2 linked regions of the Rhinolophus ferrumequinum genome follow. The protein of the gene in region 1 interacts with the protein of each later gene in a pairwise test. Links are inferred from orthologs where the notes say so. Each region holds a gene or a part of one and is shown on either strand. Other genes may lie near its edges.

Region 1 (7,673 bases):
CGGGGCCACAGGAAGTGAGCGGGGTCCAGCTCCAGCCCCTCCGGCCAGCCCCGGAAGTGACCACGGTCCAGCTCCAGCCGGCACAGGAAATGACCACAGTCCAGCTCCAGCCGGCACAGGAGGTGACCACAGTACAGCTCCAGCCTGTGGCGGGCCAGCTGCCCAATCCCAGTGGGGGAGCTGTGACCACTGAGACCCCCAACCTGCTGGTGGTGCAGAGTGGGGCAGCAGAGGAATTGCTGGCGGGCTCTGGCCCTGGGGAGCCGGGTGACGGCGAGGCCAGCACTGGTGTGGTCCAGGATGTGCTCTTTGAGACGCTGCAGACGGACGAGGGGTTGCAGAGCGTCCTGGTACTGAGTGGGGCCGATGGGGAGCAGACCCAGCTGTGTGTACAGGAGGTAGAGACCGTCCCGTCAGGGCTGGCGGAGTCACCTGCCCCTGGGCCGCCAGGACAGAAACTGCTCATCATCCGCAGCGCGCCAGCCACCGAGCTGCTGGAGAATAGTGTTGGCGGCGGTGCCACCACGCTGCAACTGCTGGCCCCACCGCCACTTGGCCCAGCCTCTGCCCCTGCCGGCATCCCCGCGGGTCCCGCCTCCCAGATGGTACAAGTGGTCCCCGCAGGAGCTGTGCCTGGGGGCATGGCCCCTCAGGGCCTGCCCTCCATCCAGATTCTCCAGACGCTGCCCGCAGTCCAGCTAGTGCACACATTTTGAGTAGAACCACTGGTACCTCTTCCTGCCCCACAGAGACCCAGACTCTGTCTGCTTGGGCTGAACTGGGGGCAGGAGAGCTGCAGGCTGGGCTTCTAATAAAGACCAGAATCTCCTCTCCTGTGTTTTGTTTTCTTGGGGTGGGGGAGGGCAACGTCATGGCCATAGCAACTGCTTGGGAGCTTGGAGTCTCATCTCTTGCATCCTGGCTCGCAGTTGAGTTGCTTGGGGGCCAGCCACTTCTACGTGGGGCTCTGTTTACTATTAAAAAGGGGATGCAGTGGTCACTAGAGTGGGGAGATGTGGAATTTAGAATCCTGCTCTGCCACCTGTTCACTGTAACTCCACCTCTCCCCTCATTTGAAAAGTCTGTGGTGGGGGGAGGGGAATGCTTGTCCCGAAGGTCACTGAGCCCGGTGGGTTGGGACGGAGGTCCCTGGGGTGAGCCAGTTTGGGAGCTGGTGGGCTCAGGATGCTGAAGCGGCCCCTCCCACGAAGCCCTGGGCACCAATGAGAATTGATTCTCTCCTATCACCGCCCCCACCCGGCACTCAGGTTGCTTAGCAACCAGGGAACCTCGAAAAGCGAGCGTGCGCACCCCCTCAACTGGCCGGTAAGTACAGCTCCCAGCTCCCACCCCGCCAGCGTCTGCTACTCCCGCCGCTGTCGTCTTACGGGTCCCCTTTCTCCATCGCTCTTTCGCTCCCTACCCCACATCCAGCAGAGTCCCTGCGCCCTGCCCTAGCCCCTCCTCAACCCCCTGCCAAGCTTGGCAACAGTTAAGACCGAATGCAGGCACCACACTGCACCGCCTCCAACGTGCGCGGTCTGACGTCACTTCCGCCGGCGACCCCTTTCCTGACCCTGTCCTCCCTCCCCATACCTTGTCAAAGAATCGGAGCCACCGCAGAGGTGTTTGTAGGTTCTTGCTCCAGCAGCGACTGTGGGGCGGGACGCTTGGGTTTGGGGAGCTTGGTCCATTACCTGGCCTTGGGGTGGGGGTTCGATGACCTCCCCCTGTAGAAGCCCCGGAGCCTGGAAGGGGGCCCTGTATAGCCAGGTGTTGGTGTCTGCAAGGTATTTAGGGTAAGATCGCTGAACACCACGGGTTGGGGGAGTGAGACCTCAGGAGACGTTAGGAAGGTGGCTGGGTGAAGGGGGCAGCCTGTCCTGCGTGGGATCTCGCTTGGGGCATCCCAAGCATCCTCACTGTCCTCATCTGATACATGCTGCTGCTGGTCCCCACCCCTGGGGCTCTTGGAGACCAGAGGTGCCCTCCTGACGTTGATCTGCTTGTTTTCACCAGGTGCACGCCTGCTCCCTGGGGGCACGGGGACTGCCATGGCCCCCAGCCACCTTTCAGTGCGGGAGATGAGAGAAGATGAGAAGCCCCTGGTGCTGGAGATGCTGAAGGTGAGTACAGCAGGGGCACCTGGGGGTAGGGGCAGCACGGTGAGCCAGCTTTTCCTTCGAAGCCACTTCTGGCTTGGCCCCTTCTCCCTCTAGTGCCTTCTGCCTACCCCTGCGGTCAGGAGGGTTTTAATGCTGGAGGGCTGTGGGGTCTGTCTCCTCCCCGACACTCCTCAGAGCAGAGCCTGGGTCTCAGCCCTGTACTCATCCTCTGCTCCAGCAACAGAGCATGCCCATTTTCTGGCCGGGGGGCAGTCGCCCATTTTCTGGCCGGGGGGCAGTCGCCCATTTTGGTCTGATCTCAATCTTCCCTGGTGCCTCCCGCACATTCTTCTCCTGAATTGGGTGTCCTCACAGTTCCTAATTCATTCACTCATTCTCTCACTCATTCATTCACTCATTCAAAGCCCAGTGTGCCAGATGTAGTGTTTGCTGGTGCACAGAGCAGATGTGGTCCAGGCCCTGCCTGTCCTTCTACCACAGGCCCAGTCCCTTTTCCTTTGGGAGCCCCCACCCTGAGTCCCTCCTGGGTAGGGTCTTCTCCCTCTCCTTGTTCCTGGTGTTCACGGGGGCCCTCGCTGATGGGAGGCCCAGTCCCCTGCTCTGACTGCGCCTCCTACCCACAGGCTGCTGTGAAGGATACGGAGAACCGAGTGGCCCTCCACGCCCTGACACGGCCGCCTGCGCTGCTGCTCCTGGCGGCCGCCAGCAGCGGCCTGCGCTTCGTGCTGGCCTCCTTTGCCCTGGCCCTCCTCCTGCCTGTGTTCCTGGCTGTGGTGGCCATGAAGCTCGGCCTGCGTGCCCGGTGGGGCTCGCTGCCTCCACCAGGTGGCCTAGGGGGGCCCTGGGTGGCAGTGCGCGGCTCAGGTGATGTGTGTGGGGTCCTGGCCCTGGCCCCAGGCTCTAACTCTGGGGATGGGGCCCGGGTCACTCGCCTCTCTGTCTCCCGCTGGCACCGCCGCCGAGGCGTGGGCAGGCGGCTGCTGGCCTTTGCCGAGTCCCGGGCACGTGCCTGGGCAGGGGGTATGGGGGAGCCCCAGGCCCGCCTCGTGGTCCCAGTGGCTGTGGCGGCTTGGGGCGTGGCAGGGATGCTGGAAGGCTGCGGCTACCAGGCTGAGGGGAGCTGGGGCTGCATGGGCTACACACTGGTAAGGGAGTTCAGCAAGAACCTGTGACTCCAACGTACGCACCTACTGTGTGCGGGCACTTTCACATTCTCCCTGTGCGAATCCCCAGCCTGCCCAGGGCCCAGAAACTGAGGCCTGCAGAGGGAAAGACAGCCTGAGGTCTGAGGTCTGTCTTTCGTGTCTGAATTTCTCAGAGTGGTCAACCTATCTGGCCTCCTGCCTCAGATTCTGTCTGCACTGAGACATCTCCCCAGTCTGTCTCTGCAAAGCCTGCACCGTTTGTGGTACCAGCCTGGGTGACAGAGAGGAGGAAAGGAGTCTGAGCAAGTGTGCCTCCCCAAGGGTTAGGAGTTGGGGCAGGGACACCCCAAACTGGGATGAGGCCCCCACCATGAATGGGGTGGGGTTTGATGCCTGTGCTTGGAGAGGATGAGTCTGGAGCCAGAGGGGATGAGCAGAGCCTCTGCGAGGAGGGTTGTCTCCTAGAGAGGCCCTGCAAGGAGGGGGTGGGCACAGGAAGGCCGGCGGCCCCTCCCTGGGGGAAAGGGACTGCTAAGAAGGGTGGCCAGACCTGTCTGGTGTTTTTATACCCGATTGTTAATAAAGCCTGAAACTGCTCTGCGCCTGGCTTGCTCTCTCTCTGATGCCTTTTCCAGTCTGTCTTGGAATCCCTCCTTCAGTCTGGCTCCTCCTTTCCTGAGTTGACATTAATTGGTGGTGGTGGTGCTGGCTCAGGAGAAAGGGAGGCATGAGCTCACGGCAGCCTCGCTCCTAGCCAGCCCTCTGACTCACGCTCCCCATTACCGAGGTTTTCCGCCTCCCAGCTGCCTGGTGCCCAGAGAGTGAGTGTGTGTGCACATTCAGTCACCTCTAGCACCCAGGCCTTGACCTGAGGTCTGCCCAGTTCCCCACCCCAGTTGCCTCGGGGTTGGGGGACATATAAGTTCAACCACTTCTCCCTCAGATGGGGGGCTTTGCATCCAACTCCACGCTGGGGAACAGAGTCTCCTTTCCCAATCTAGGAAGTCCTTCCTGGTGTCTGGCTGGAAGCCTCTTGCTGCTGAACCTTGATCCCCAGCTGTGCCAGGTCTCAAAGGCCCACAGCTCCTGTGAATCTACCCTCTAGCCCCTACACCCTGGTCCAATCCACATTTTCCTGCTTGGATAAGAGAGGAAGCAGACGGGTGGGTGCCTCGCCCATGTCGTCCCTTCCCTGAAGCCTGCCCTCCGTCCTCTAAGCATCTCTACGCCCCGCATGCCTGGCTGGCCTGTGTGGGTGTTTGCAGTTGGACATCCTCCCTCCAGCCCGCCACCCCCCTCCCCCCCCAGGCCTCAGCCGCTGGCCAGCCCCCTCCCCGCCCCCCTCCTGTCCCCTGCTGCCTCCTCGGCAGCCTTTCTTGCTCCTGGCAAAGCGTCTAGCTCCTGCCTGCTCCTCCCGGGTCCAGGGCGCTTCAGCAGGCGCTTCCCCCCTCCCTCCAGTGGCGGCTGCCTTCTGCCCTCTCCTGATCCTCCCCTCTCACCCCATCTTTGCCCTGGACTCTGCAAACATGAGGGTCTTGGCCTGCCTCCTCGGTGAGTGACCCATTCTCCTTGGGGACTCGGGGGCCTGGGCCCCACCCTCTGACCCCTGAGCTCCTGCAATTGAGGGGCCCATTCTTCCAGGGCCCATTCCTGGTGCTTGGGGACACAGGACATCTGCCCTCCCTACCTGACCGCCCAGGGACCCAGCCTTCTATATGCCAGTCCCACCCTCTTAGGAGGCCCAGCGACCTACTCATCCCCACCACCAGGCTTGACCCTTTGGGGGGGTCACACACAATTTGACCTTTAGCCAGGCCTCTCTCTGGGGGAGCACAAGGGCCTGGTCCCCAGCCCTGACCTGTTGCATCTGGGGTCCTGCCCCTCCACCCTCGAGTCCTGCTTTCTTCCCAGTAGGGGTTTCTGGTTCAGAGGTGCAAGGATGTGTGTGTGTGTGTGAGTGTGTGCGCGTGCGCGCGCTGGGGTCAAGACTGGGGAAGGGACCCCTGGACCTGCCCCTCACTGTGTCCCACCCCTCCAACCTCCCTTCCAGTGGCTCTGATGGGGATCCAGGCTGTTGGTAAGTGTCCCCAAACACTCCTCTGTCTGGCCTCACCCAGCTCCAAGCCCATCCCATTCCCAGCCTCGCCCTCCCCTGGGATCCTGGCCACCTACCATCTGGTGATGACCTCAGGCACCATTCCCCCAGAACTACCGCGGCAGTCAGCCACCCGCTTCCTGCAGGGACCAGGGTCTCTCACCACTACTTTCCTGGACCCCAGGCTTTGGGGTACCCACCAGCAACAGGATACTGGCCTAGTCGCACTCTGGAGGGCTACCCTTTGCCCCAGGGCTTCCAGGATGTCACACCCTTTCCTCCGTTCCCCCAGAGCGGTTGCGGCTGGCCGATGGCCCCCACGGGTGCGCGGGCCGGCTGGAAGTGTGGCACAGTGGGCGCTGGGGGACGGTGTGCGATGACGGATGGGACCTGCGGGACGCCGCAGTCGCCTGCCGGGAGCTGGGCTGCGGGGCGGCACTGGCCGCCCCCGGAGGTGCCTTCTTTGGGGAGGGTGCAGGTCCCGTGTGGCTGAGTGAGCTGGCCTGCCGGGGCGGCGAGGGGCAGCTGGGCCTGTGCCCCCACCGAGGGTGGAAGGCCCACGTCTGTTCCCATGAAGAGGATGCAGGCGTTGTCTGTGCAGGTAAGGACCCCAAATCCTCAGCCCAGTCACTCTGAGGGTCTAGAAGTCCCAACATTCCCTCCAGAGCCAGGGGTCTTCCTCCAGGACCCCAACTTATCACTGCCCAGGGATCCTGGCCCAGCCTCTCCCAGGGCCCACCCTCTGGAGCTCCCCTGCTCTCCGCAGGTCAGCGTGTGGCTAACTCGAGGGACATGGACGGTTCACCTTCGTTCCTGGATGGGGACCCCTGGCAGGGGCTGTCTGGGGAGCTGAGTCCCAGCTCTGAGGAGCCCCCTGTGACACACAGTGAGCCCACCCACCCATGTCCCCTCCTGCTTCAACCGTGGGGGAGAGGGGCCTTCCACATTCATGTTGCCCAGGGGGCAGACAGATGCCCATCTCCTCGCCAACCCCGAGGGTCCTGGCTCAGCCCCCCAGGCAGGAGTAGGGTTGAGCGGCTCCCTCCCACCCTCCTTACTGTCTCTTCTTCCAGCCCCCCGCCCAGCTGGGACCCCCCAGAGCAGCTCCCGGAAGAAAAGCCCCCGGCCTCCCAAGCAGGCCAAGTCCACCAGAGCCCCTGCACTGATGGCTGGAGCCCCACACCACGGTAAGTTCCTTGCAGGCCTCCCCTCTGCAGATCTGGACCAGCTTGGGCCCCCTGCGTGTCCTCCTGAGTCAGGCCTGGTCCCCCACCCCACCCCACCCGGTCAGGGAACCCAAGTGTCTGTTTCGAGCACCCAGGCACCCTGCCCCACTTACATTCTCACTCTCCCTGTAATGGCCAGGCTGGCAGATCTCAGGCCACTGCCCTCTCCAGGCCTCAGTTTCCCTAGATGGAAAACGAGGGGTGTTTAAATCCACTTATCCCGGCTGCTTCACACAAGGCTCCTGTCCATCCCCACAGAGCGGCTGCGCCTGGCCTCGGGCCCCCACGGTTGTGCAGGTCGGCTGGAGGTGTGGCACGGTGGGCGCTGGGGGACGGTGTGTGACGACGGATGGGACCTGCGTGACGCAGCTGTGGCCTGCCGGGAGCTGGGCTGCGGGGGGGCACTGGCTGCCCCAGGAGGGGCCCGATTTGGCCCAGGCTCAGGGCCTGTGTGGATGGATGATGTGGGGTGCGGAGGTGGAGAGCAGGCCCTGAGGGACTGTCCCCGGAGCCCTTGGGGTCGGAGCAACTGTGACCACAGCGAGGACGCAGGGCTGGTCTGCACAGGTGCGTTTCTTCCCTGGGCCTGGATCTGCCCACAGCACAGTGGCATCTGCAGTGTCTCCCTGGGTGTCTGAAGCATAGTGTGCAGAGGAGCACAGAGCTGGGGGCCAGGGACAGTGAGGGGTCCCTCCATGTGCCACAGGGTGGGAAGCACGTGGGGCCCAGTTCCTGGGAGATAAGTTGAGGCTTCAGAGAGGGTTACATTGTCGGGGAGAAGTGAACCCCACTGAGGTGCCCGGGGGAGCTCAATGCCTTAAGATCTTTAATACTTCAGTGCGACCCTGTAGGGGAGGGCCTGTCATTTCCGAGGAGAAGTAAGTGCAGGCATTTCTGGCCTCTCTCTGGCCTGCAGTTCCGCCTCCCTGCATACTGACTGGTAGAGAGATGGATTCCACATTCCCCCAGTGGCATCTCAGCTTTTATTCCAGAAAGACCCAACAGAAATGAACCCTAAAACTGACGAGAGGTCTAGACTAGTGGTTTTCCACGTGGGGTGATGAACAATTATCCCATTCCC
Region 2 (7,053 bases), on another chromosome or scaffold:
GTGTCCTGGAGGCAAAAGTTGACCAGGCCCAGAGACAGCCGAGGGGCTGGGGAATAGCGGGGTATCTCTTAGAGCCACTCTCCCACTTTAGGATCTAAAATGCCCCTGGCCAGACAGAACCTCCCCAAGAGCCTAGGCTGTTATGGCCTCCAGGCCCACCATCTTGCCAGGTGAGACTGTGCCTGTGGCCCCAGAATGTTCCATCTGGTCCCAGGAGTATAGCGCACCCTACCTCCTTTCCCTCGCCCCACTCTGGGACATGTACCTACGAGCTTGTCTGACCCCTTTGGTCCTCCCTCTATGCCCCTGCTCCCCCCTCACCCTCGTGGATTTAGTCATCATGTAATTATTTGCTTATTTGTTCATCACAGATTTGTTGGGCACCCTCTCTGCGTCCAGCTGGATGCCTGAGAGGCAACCCTATAGAAGACAAGCCCAGGTCTTCCTGTCACCTGCATGATAGCATCTGTCCTGGAGGCCTAGCTTTCCTCTCACTTTGTCACTCATCTGTGAAGACCAGTTGCTTCTTCCCTGCCTTTGATCTGCCCTCAGCTGGGCTCCATCCACCTGGTCACTCCTTGGCTCCAGCTCTGACCTGTGAGGTCCTTCTTTTTGGCAGTGGGCCCTGCTCTCTGCTGGCCACTTCACAGGCTCCAGCAGGAAGACTCAGGATCCAGCTTTCCAGCCCTCCCATTCCAGGGTCACACTTTTCCTCCATCCCTCAAGTGGGCATTGTTCCCTGGTGACGTCCCAGTCTTTTTGGGGACCTGAATTCAAACCACTGTACTCAGGGGACATTTGATTCGTGGTTGTGAAAATGATTTTAAAGCTCACCTGAAAAAAATAAACAAAATGAGAATATCTAGGAAGTTTTTTTCAGGGGAAAAAAAAAGGCCAAGAAGGAAATATTAAACATTAAATATACAATTAAGTTGAACCAGGCTTGCATACCTGAAATAAATCCCACTTAGTCATGGTAGGTAATTCTTTTTACACATTGTTGGATTTTATTTGCTAATATTTTGAGTATTTTCGCATCTGTATTTATGAGAGATACTGGTCTGTAGTTTTCCTTTCTTGTAATGTCTTTCTCTGGTTTTAGGATTAGAGTAATGCTGACCTCATAGAATGAGTTTGGAAGTATTCCCTCTGCTTCTATCTTCTGAAAAAGATTGTAGAGAATTGGTGTCATTTCTCCATAAATATTTGGTAGAATTCATTGGTGAAACCATCTGGGCCTGGTGTTTTCTGTTTTGGAAGCTTATTAACTGATTCAATTTCTTTAATAGTTATAGGTCTGTTAAGATTATTTGTTTCTCCTTGTGTGAGTTTTGGTAGATTGTATCTTTCAAGAAATTGGTCTGTTTCACCCAGGAATCAAATTTGGGGGCATAGTGTTATTCATAATATTCCTTTATTAGCTTTTTAATGTCCATGAGATCAGTAATGATGCCCCTATTTCATTTCTGGTATTAGTAATTTGTGTTTTCTCTCTTTTTTCTTGCCTGACTAGAGGGTATCAATTTTATTGATCTTTTCAAAGAACCAACTTTTGATTTCCTTGATTTTTCTCTATTAATTTCCTGTCTTTGATTTCATTGATTTCTGCTCTAATTTTTATTATTTCTTTTCTTCTGCTTATTTTGGATTTAATTTTCTTTTTCTAGTTTCCTAAGGTGGGGGCTTAGATTACTCATTTTAGATCTTTTTTCCCCCTAATGTATGCATTCAAGCTAGAAATTTCCGTCTAAGCACTGTTTTCACTGCACCTCACAAATATTCATTAGTTGTGTTTTCCTTTTCATTTAGTTCAAAATTAACCATGAGATGCCATGTTTCATTTATCAGATTAGAAAAAATGTTAAAGTTTGATAATACATAGTGTGGGTTAAGGTGTGGGAAAATAGGCACATTTATACCTTACTATTGGAAATATAAGTTAGTTCACCATTTTGGATGGCAATTTGTACATATCTATAAAACTTTTAAAGGTTATATACATTTTAATTTAGTAATGTATAGATAAGATGTCCATACAGAAGTGATCATACACAAGCCATCTGTATATGGGATAGAATTTCCAATAGCAAAAGACCCAAGTGTCCATTAATAGAGGATTGCCTGAATATATCTATTCAATGAAAGTCTATACAGAGAATGGAGTATATCTAATACTAATATTGAAAGATGATTAAGGTATACTGTTAAATGAACAAGCAGGCTACAGGAAAGTGTGTTTAACGTGATAGCATTTGTGTTCTGTTTTAAAAAAAAATAGAAAGAAGAGCTTATTTTATGCTTGATTCGTATGAACACATCTGGAAACACATCATTGCTGTTCCCTCTGGGACAGAGGTGCTTGAGGGTCGAGGAAGAGCAGGGCACCTTTTGTTTTTCACCATGTACCTTCTTTACCGTTTGAGTAGGATTACATTTAATTTGAAAAACTAGTTTTAAAACCAAATTGCAGATTTGAGCCCACAGGAGGCTGAGAGCACGCTCAACCTTTCCTTTGCTCTCTCTTCGTTGTAAGACAGCATGCAATAGGCTGTCCACTCCTGGGCTTTGTACACCCTGGTCCTTTCTCTCATTTTATATCTAAGAGGAGTTAAAAAAAAAAAAAAAAAAAAAAAAAAAAACAAACAAACAAACAAAAAAAAAACTCTTGACCACTCTGCCAGATGGCACTGTTGATGGCTGGTGGTTTCGAAATGAGGAAAAGAGACTATTTTTGATCATTACAGAAAAAAGTAAAATTTGTTCTCTTAGAAGTGTTTTGATAGAAAGGTAATTTAAACTCATCATCTTTAAAAACTAGAGAAACTGAACATCCCTTGTACTCTACTACTTACTATTTTAGTGTTTTGTGCTGTTTCCCTGAATGTTTTTTTTTTCAATGCATCTATCATATTTTAAATGGCTGTAATCCCAGGGAACATACACTGTTGTGGTTGTTTACGTCATAGCATCCACATTTTCAGATGGCTACAGGGCCAGGAAACATTAATTTGGAGGAATGTTACACTTGATTCCTCAGAAAGAACACAAAGTCTGGAATTAGGATGTTACCAAAGAACACGCTGTTGGGGGAGGGAGCTCTTCCTCCCTCCCTCCCTCTGGAAAGAGAATCTCTCTGAGCGGGCAGTGGGGCACTTGGCTGTGATTGGCACCTTTGTGCTGTGTACAAGTTTGTGAAGGAAAATCAAGGCTTCTGAGGCTGCAGCTGAAATACTACTTGCTTCTTTTGGTAAAGCAGCTTGTGTTGAGGATAGTTGGGGAACTACAGCTTTTATAGATTCAATGTCTACTTGTCAACACATGCTTGACATTGGGTTGAGAATAATTTAAACATCTTTCCATTCTGTCTACCTTTTCCTAGATATGGTGGTCATAAATATACCCTGCTATTCACACTGGATTTTCTTGAAAATCAGATTGGCAGCTTTGCATAGCAACAAACAAAACTCCTGAGCTACCCAGCATGGGGGGGCGGGGTGTAGAGGAGAACCCTCTCCCAGCCAGCTGTGTTGATTTAGTGCAGCTGACTCTAAGCTTGAGCTTCCTCATTGGCAGAAGGAAGGCAACAGCTGTGCCCAAAGTTTATTGTGAGGATTAGACAAGATAACGAGTAAGGATGGTGTTTGTAGCAGAGATGGGCAAACAGAAGACTTTCAATACATGGCAGCTGGCTACCAAATTAACTTAGTGAAGGAAATTTAAGAAGATACAAAAAGCACACACGTATATAGTTCATTTACAAAAATGCAATGATACTATACAAAATTCAAAGTATTCAGTCATAGAGGATTCCCTTCCTAAGACCTATACAGCAAGATGTTTTCAATATTTTTCTTGAGCATCTACTATGGGCTAGGTGCTGTTCAGAAAGGTTAAGTGTTGAGTGAAGCTCTCCGGGCTGGTCCACAACAGCCACACTTCCCAGCCACACCCAAGATGGCTACTTGCTCCAGCCGGTCACTGGGCTCCGCGCAGGAGCACTTCCGCCTGCCTCTCCCAACATGGCACCACCAGCGAGCTCTGGGGCGGGGCCAAGGGCGGAAATGGGTGTGATAGGGACGGGAGCCGAGAGGGCACGCACTCTGAGACAAAATACTGGAAGTGGGAGCCTCAGGGTCGAAGGGATGATTCCCCCGCAGGAGGCGTCCGCCCGGCGGCGGGAGATCGAGGACAAGCTGAAGCAGGTGGGACTGGGGCTGGGAAGGTGGTGGAGGAGGTGAGGGAAGGAGCCGAGATCCGGGCCGGGGCATATACTCACGGAGGAGGCAGGGGTGGGTGGGAGCGCTCCCTTCAAGGAGATGGGGTTGGGGGCGAGAGCGCGGTGATCTCCTTTAGCTTCCGGCTTCTGCTACTATCGTCCCCTCCGCTTCCCCAGGAAGAAGAGACGCTGTCCTTCATCCGAGACAGCCTGGAGAAGAGCGACCAGCTCACCAAGAACATGGCAAGTAACGCCTCGGCTGGGAGGGGCTGACAGGCCTCCAGACCTTGGGGGGGAGCCCTGCGACCTGCGGTTCGGTCTATAAGGCCTGAGGTTCTGGCCCGGCTAATGATGGTGGTCGCGTGTGGGTTTCTCTAGCAACCGTGTGGCTTGTCTCTTACTTCGCTGCCTTCCCCTTGTCCGCCGCTTCACTGAGGATGCTGCAGCCCCTCTGGCCTGGACTTTCTGCTTTCTGTTCAAGTTCTCCATTCTTCCTTCTGTCTTTCTGCAAACATTTAGTGAGACTGACTTTGGTGGGCTGGGTACTGGTCACGTGGCAGCCTTCAGTTGGAGGGATGGTGGGATGGGAGGGATAGAGCACTTCCAAGATGAGGAGGGCAGGGGAACTCAGCCGTCACGCCTGGAGGGCTGTAGGGGTAGAACAAGCTTTGAAGTCAGATAGATCTAGGATCTAGCCCTCCCCCTCCACTTATTTGTGTATGGCTCCTGACAGGTAACTCTGGGCTTCAGTTAACGCATCCGATAAGACAGCCACTGTCAACCTCCCAGGGTGGCTGTGAAGGTCATAGGAGCTAATGCATGGGCTAACACATCTTGCACAGTACCTGGTATACAGTAGGTGCTCAACAGATAGCAGTTTCCTTCCTTATTTTCAGAGGAGACTGGAAAAGCACAAATTGAGTAAATACAAACTTGGGTATGTATTTAATAACATAATCGTAAAGTCCTATTCCTTATTGAATGACACTCCCCCTTAGAGAGGGAGGGTTTTGAAGGTACCAGCAATGCATTTGAGCCCCTCTATATGAAGTTACTTCCTGTTCAGTGTAGGAAAGCTTCAGAGAGAACAGAAATAGAGATTTAGCTTCAAAGGGTGGAAGGGAAGCCATCCTGGGGTGATTAACTTAGAAGAAGTTAATTTGCTGCTTGGCTTGCCTTCAAATCAAACTTCATCCAATTTATTTGAACCACCTCCTATGGTTCGGCACATGGGACGTGCTCAGGCTACAGAGATGAACAGGTACACCCTGCCCCTTCCCTCACAGAGCTTGGTGTCTAGAAAACCAGAGAAAAACGCAGCAAATGCCACGACCCGATGGGTAGAAGCGGTGCTGGGACCACCCTGAGGTCTGAGAGCACGGGGCTTCCCCCGCAGGTGTCTATCCTGTCATCCTTTGAGAGCCGCCTGATGAAGCTGGAAAACTCCATCATCCCTGTTCACAAGCAGACAGAGAACCTGCAGCGGCTGCAGGAGAATGTTGAGAAGACTCTGTCCTGCCTGGACCACGTCATCAGCTACTACCACGTGGCCAGTGACACTGAGAAGATCATCAGGGAGGGGTGAGCCAGGGCCAGAGGGTCACATTCCTAACGCCTCCTGGACCAGTGGCCATAGGCCTTGGGAGGGAGGGGTGGAATGTATTTGAGCCTGGAGTCCCTTGTGTTACTTCTTTTCTTTCCCCTTTCTATTACCATTCCCTTGGTCCTTCTCTTCATCTTCCATCCACCCAGGCCGATCTGGCTCTTTTCCTTCCCAGCCCCACAGGTAGGCTGGAAGAATACCTGGGAAGCATGGCCAAGATTCAGAAGGCTGTGGAATATTTCCAGGACAATAGCCCAGACAGCCCAGAGCTCAACAAAGTGGTAAGGGACCAGCAGGGTAATATGAGAGCGATGGGGACACCAGTCACTGCCCTGGTCTCAGGAGAGACTAAGCCAGCTTCAAAAAGGCTATAGTAGAATAAACAGAACTATATAATACAGTTCACAGACTGTAGTCATGAAGACCTCTGCCTCAGGAATGACATCATACGTTTTTGTTACATTTGTATAATTTAACTAAATTATAAATTACATATAAAATGTAAATTTAACATTTGATTTATATAAACGCATTTGTGGGGTTTTTTTTAATGTGGTAAAAATACATAACATAAAATTTATAATTTTTAAAGTTATTTTTGATTACAGTGGACAAACAATATATTCATTTCAGGTGTACAACATAGTGATTAGACATTTATATAATTTACAAAGTTATCACCCCAATAAGTCTGGTACCCATCTGACATCATGCGTACTTATTGCAATATTGACTCTATTCCCTATACTGTGTTTTACGTTTCCGTGACTCATTTAATAAGTGGCGGTTTGTATTTCTGAATCCCTTTCACCTTATTCACCCATCCCCCCAACACCCCTCCCAACTGACGAGCGCCAATTTGTTCTCTGTGTGTATGAGTTTCTTTCTGTTTTGTTCGTTTGTTTATTTTGTTGTTCAGATTTCACGTGTAAGTGAGATCAGATGTTATTTGTCTTTTCTCCGTCTGACTTATTTCACTCAGCATAACACTCTCTAGGCCCATTCATATTTTAACCATTTTGAAGTGAACACTTCAGTGGCATGAAGTACTTTCACATTGCTGTGCTGCCATCACCACCGTCCATCTCCAGAACCCTTTTCATCCCAAACTCAAACTCTGATCCATTCAACAGTAACTCCCCTTTCTCCTCTCCCTCCAACCCCTGGCAACCATTATTCTACTTTCTGTCTCTATAAATTGGACTATTCTGGGAACCTGAATTCATGTTTTTAC

Evidence for each region. The genes of interacting proteins can lie anywhere in the genome.
Region 2: the proteins of SSC5D (region 1) and EXOC7 interact in binary tests that used the Homo sapiens proteins (3 or more experiments, as listed by UniProt). The two-hybrid records come from large-scale screens. The link is inferred for Rhinolophus ferrumequinum from reciprocal best matches to the Homo sapiens genes SSC5D and EXOC7.

Annotation. Positions count from the first base shown.
Region 1 is NC_046298.1:48,596,002-48,603,674, forward strand, and holds the start of SSC5D (soluble scavenger receptor cysteine-rich domain-containing protein SSC5D), read left to right. Parts: upstream 1-4,663; 5' UTR 4,664-4,797; coding exon 4,798-4,822; intron 4,823-5,321; coding exon 5,322-5,348; intron 5,349-5,658; coding exon 5,659-5,967; intron 5,968-6,132; coding exon 6,133-6,252; intron 6,253-6,439; coding exon 6,440-6,553; intron 6,554-6,850; coding exon 6,851-7,159; intron 7,160-7,673. Other genes in the region: ZNF628 (zinc finger protein 628), read left to right, coding at 1-716; NAT14 (probable N-acetyltransferase 14), read left to right, coding at 2,055-2,126, 2,750-3,298.
Region 2 is NC_046304.1:50,885,339-50,892,391, reverse strand, and holds the start of EXOC7 (exocyst complex component 7), read left to right. Parts: upstream 1-4,044; 5' UTR 4,045-4,061; coding exon 4,062-4,202; intron 4,203-4,393; coding exon 4,394-4,459; intron 4,460-5,612; coding exon 5,613-5,797; intron 5,798-5,994; coding exon 5,995-6,100; intron 6,101-7,053. UniProt on the Homo sapiens protein: Component of the exocyst complex involved in the docking of exocytic vesicles with fusion sites on the plasma membrane.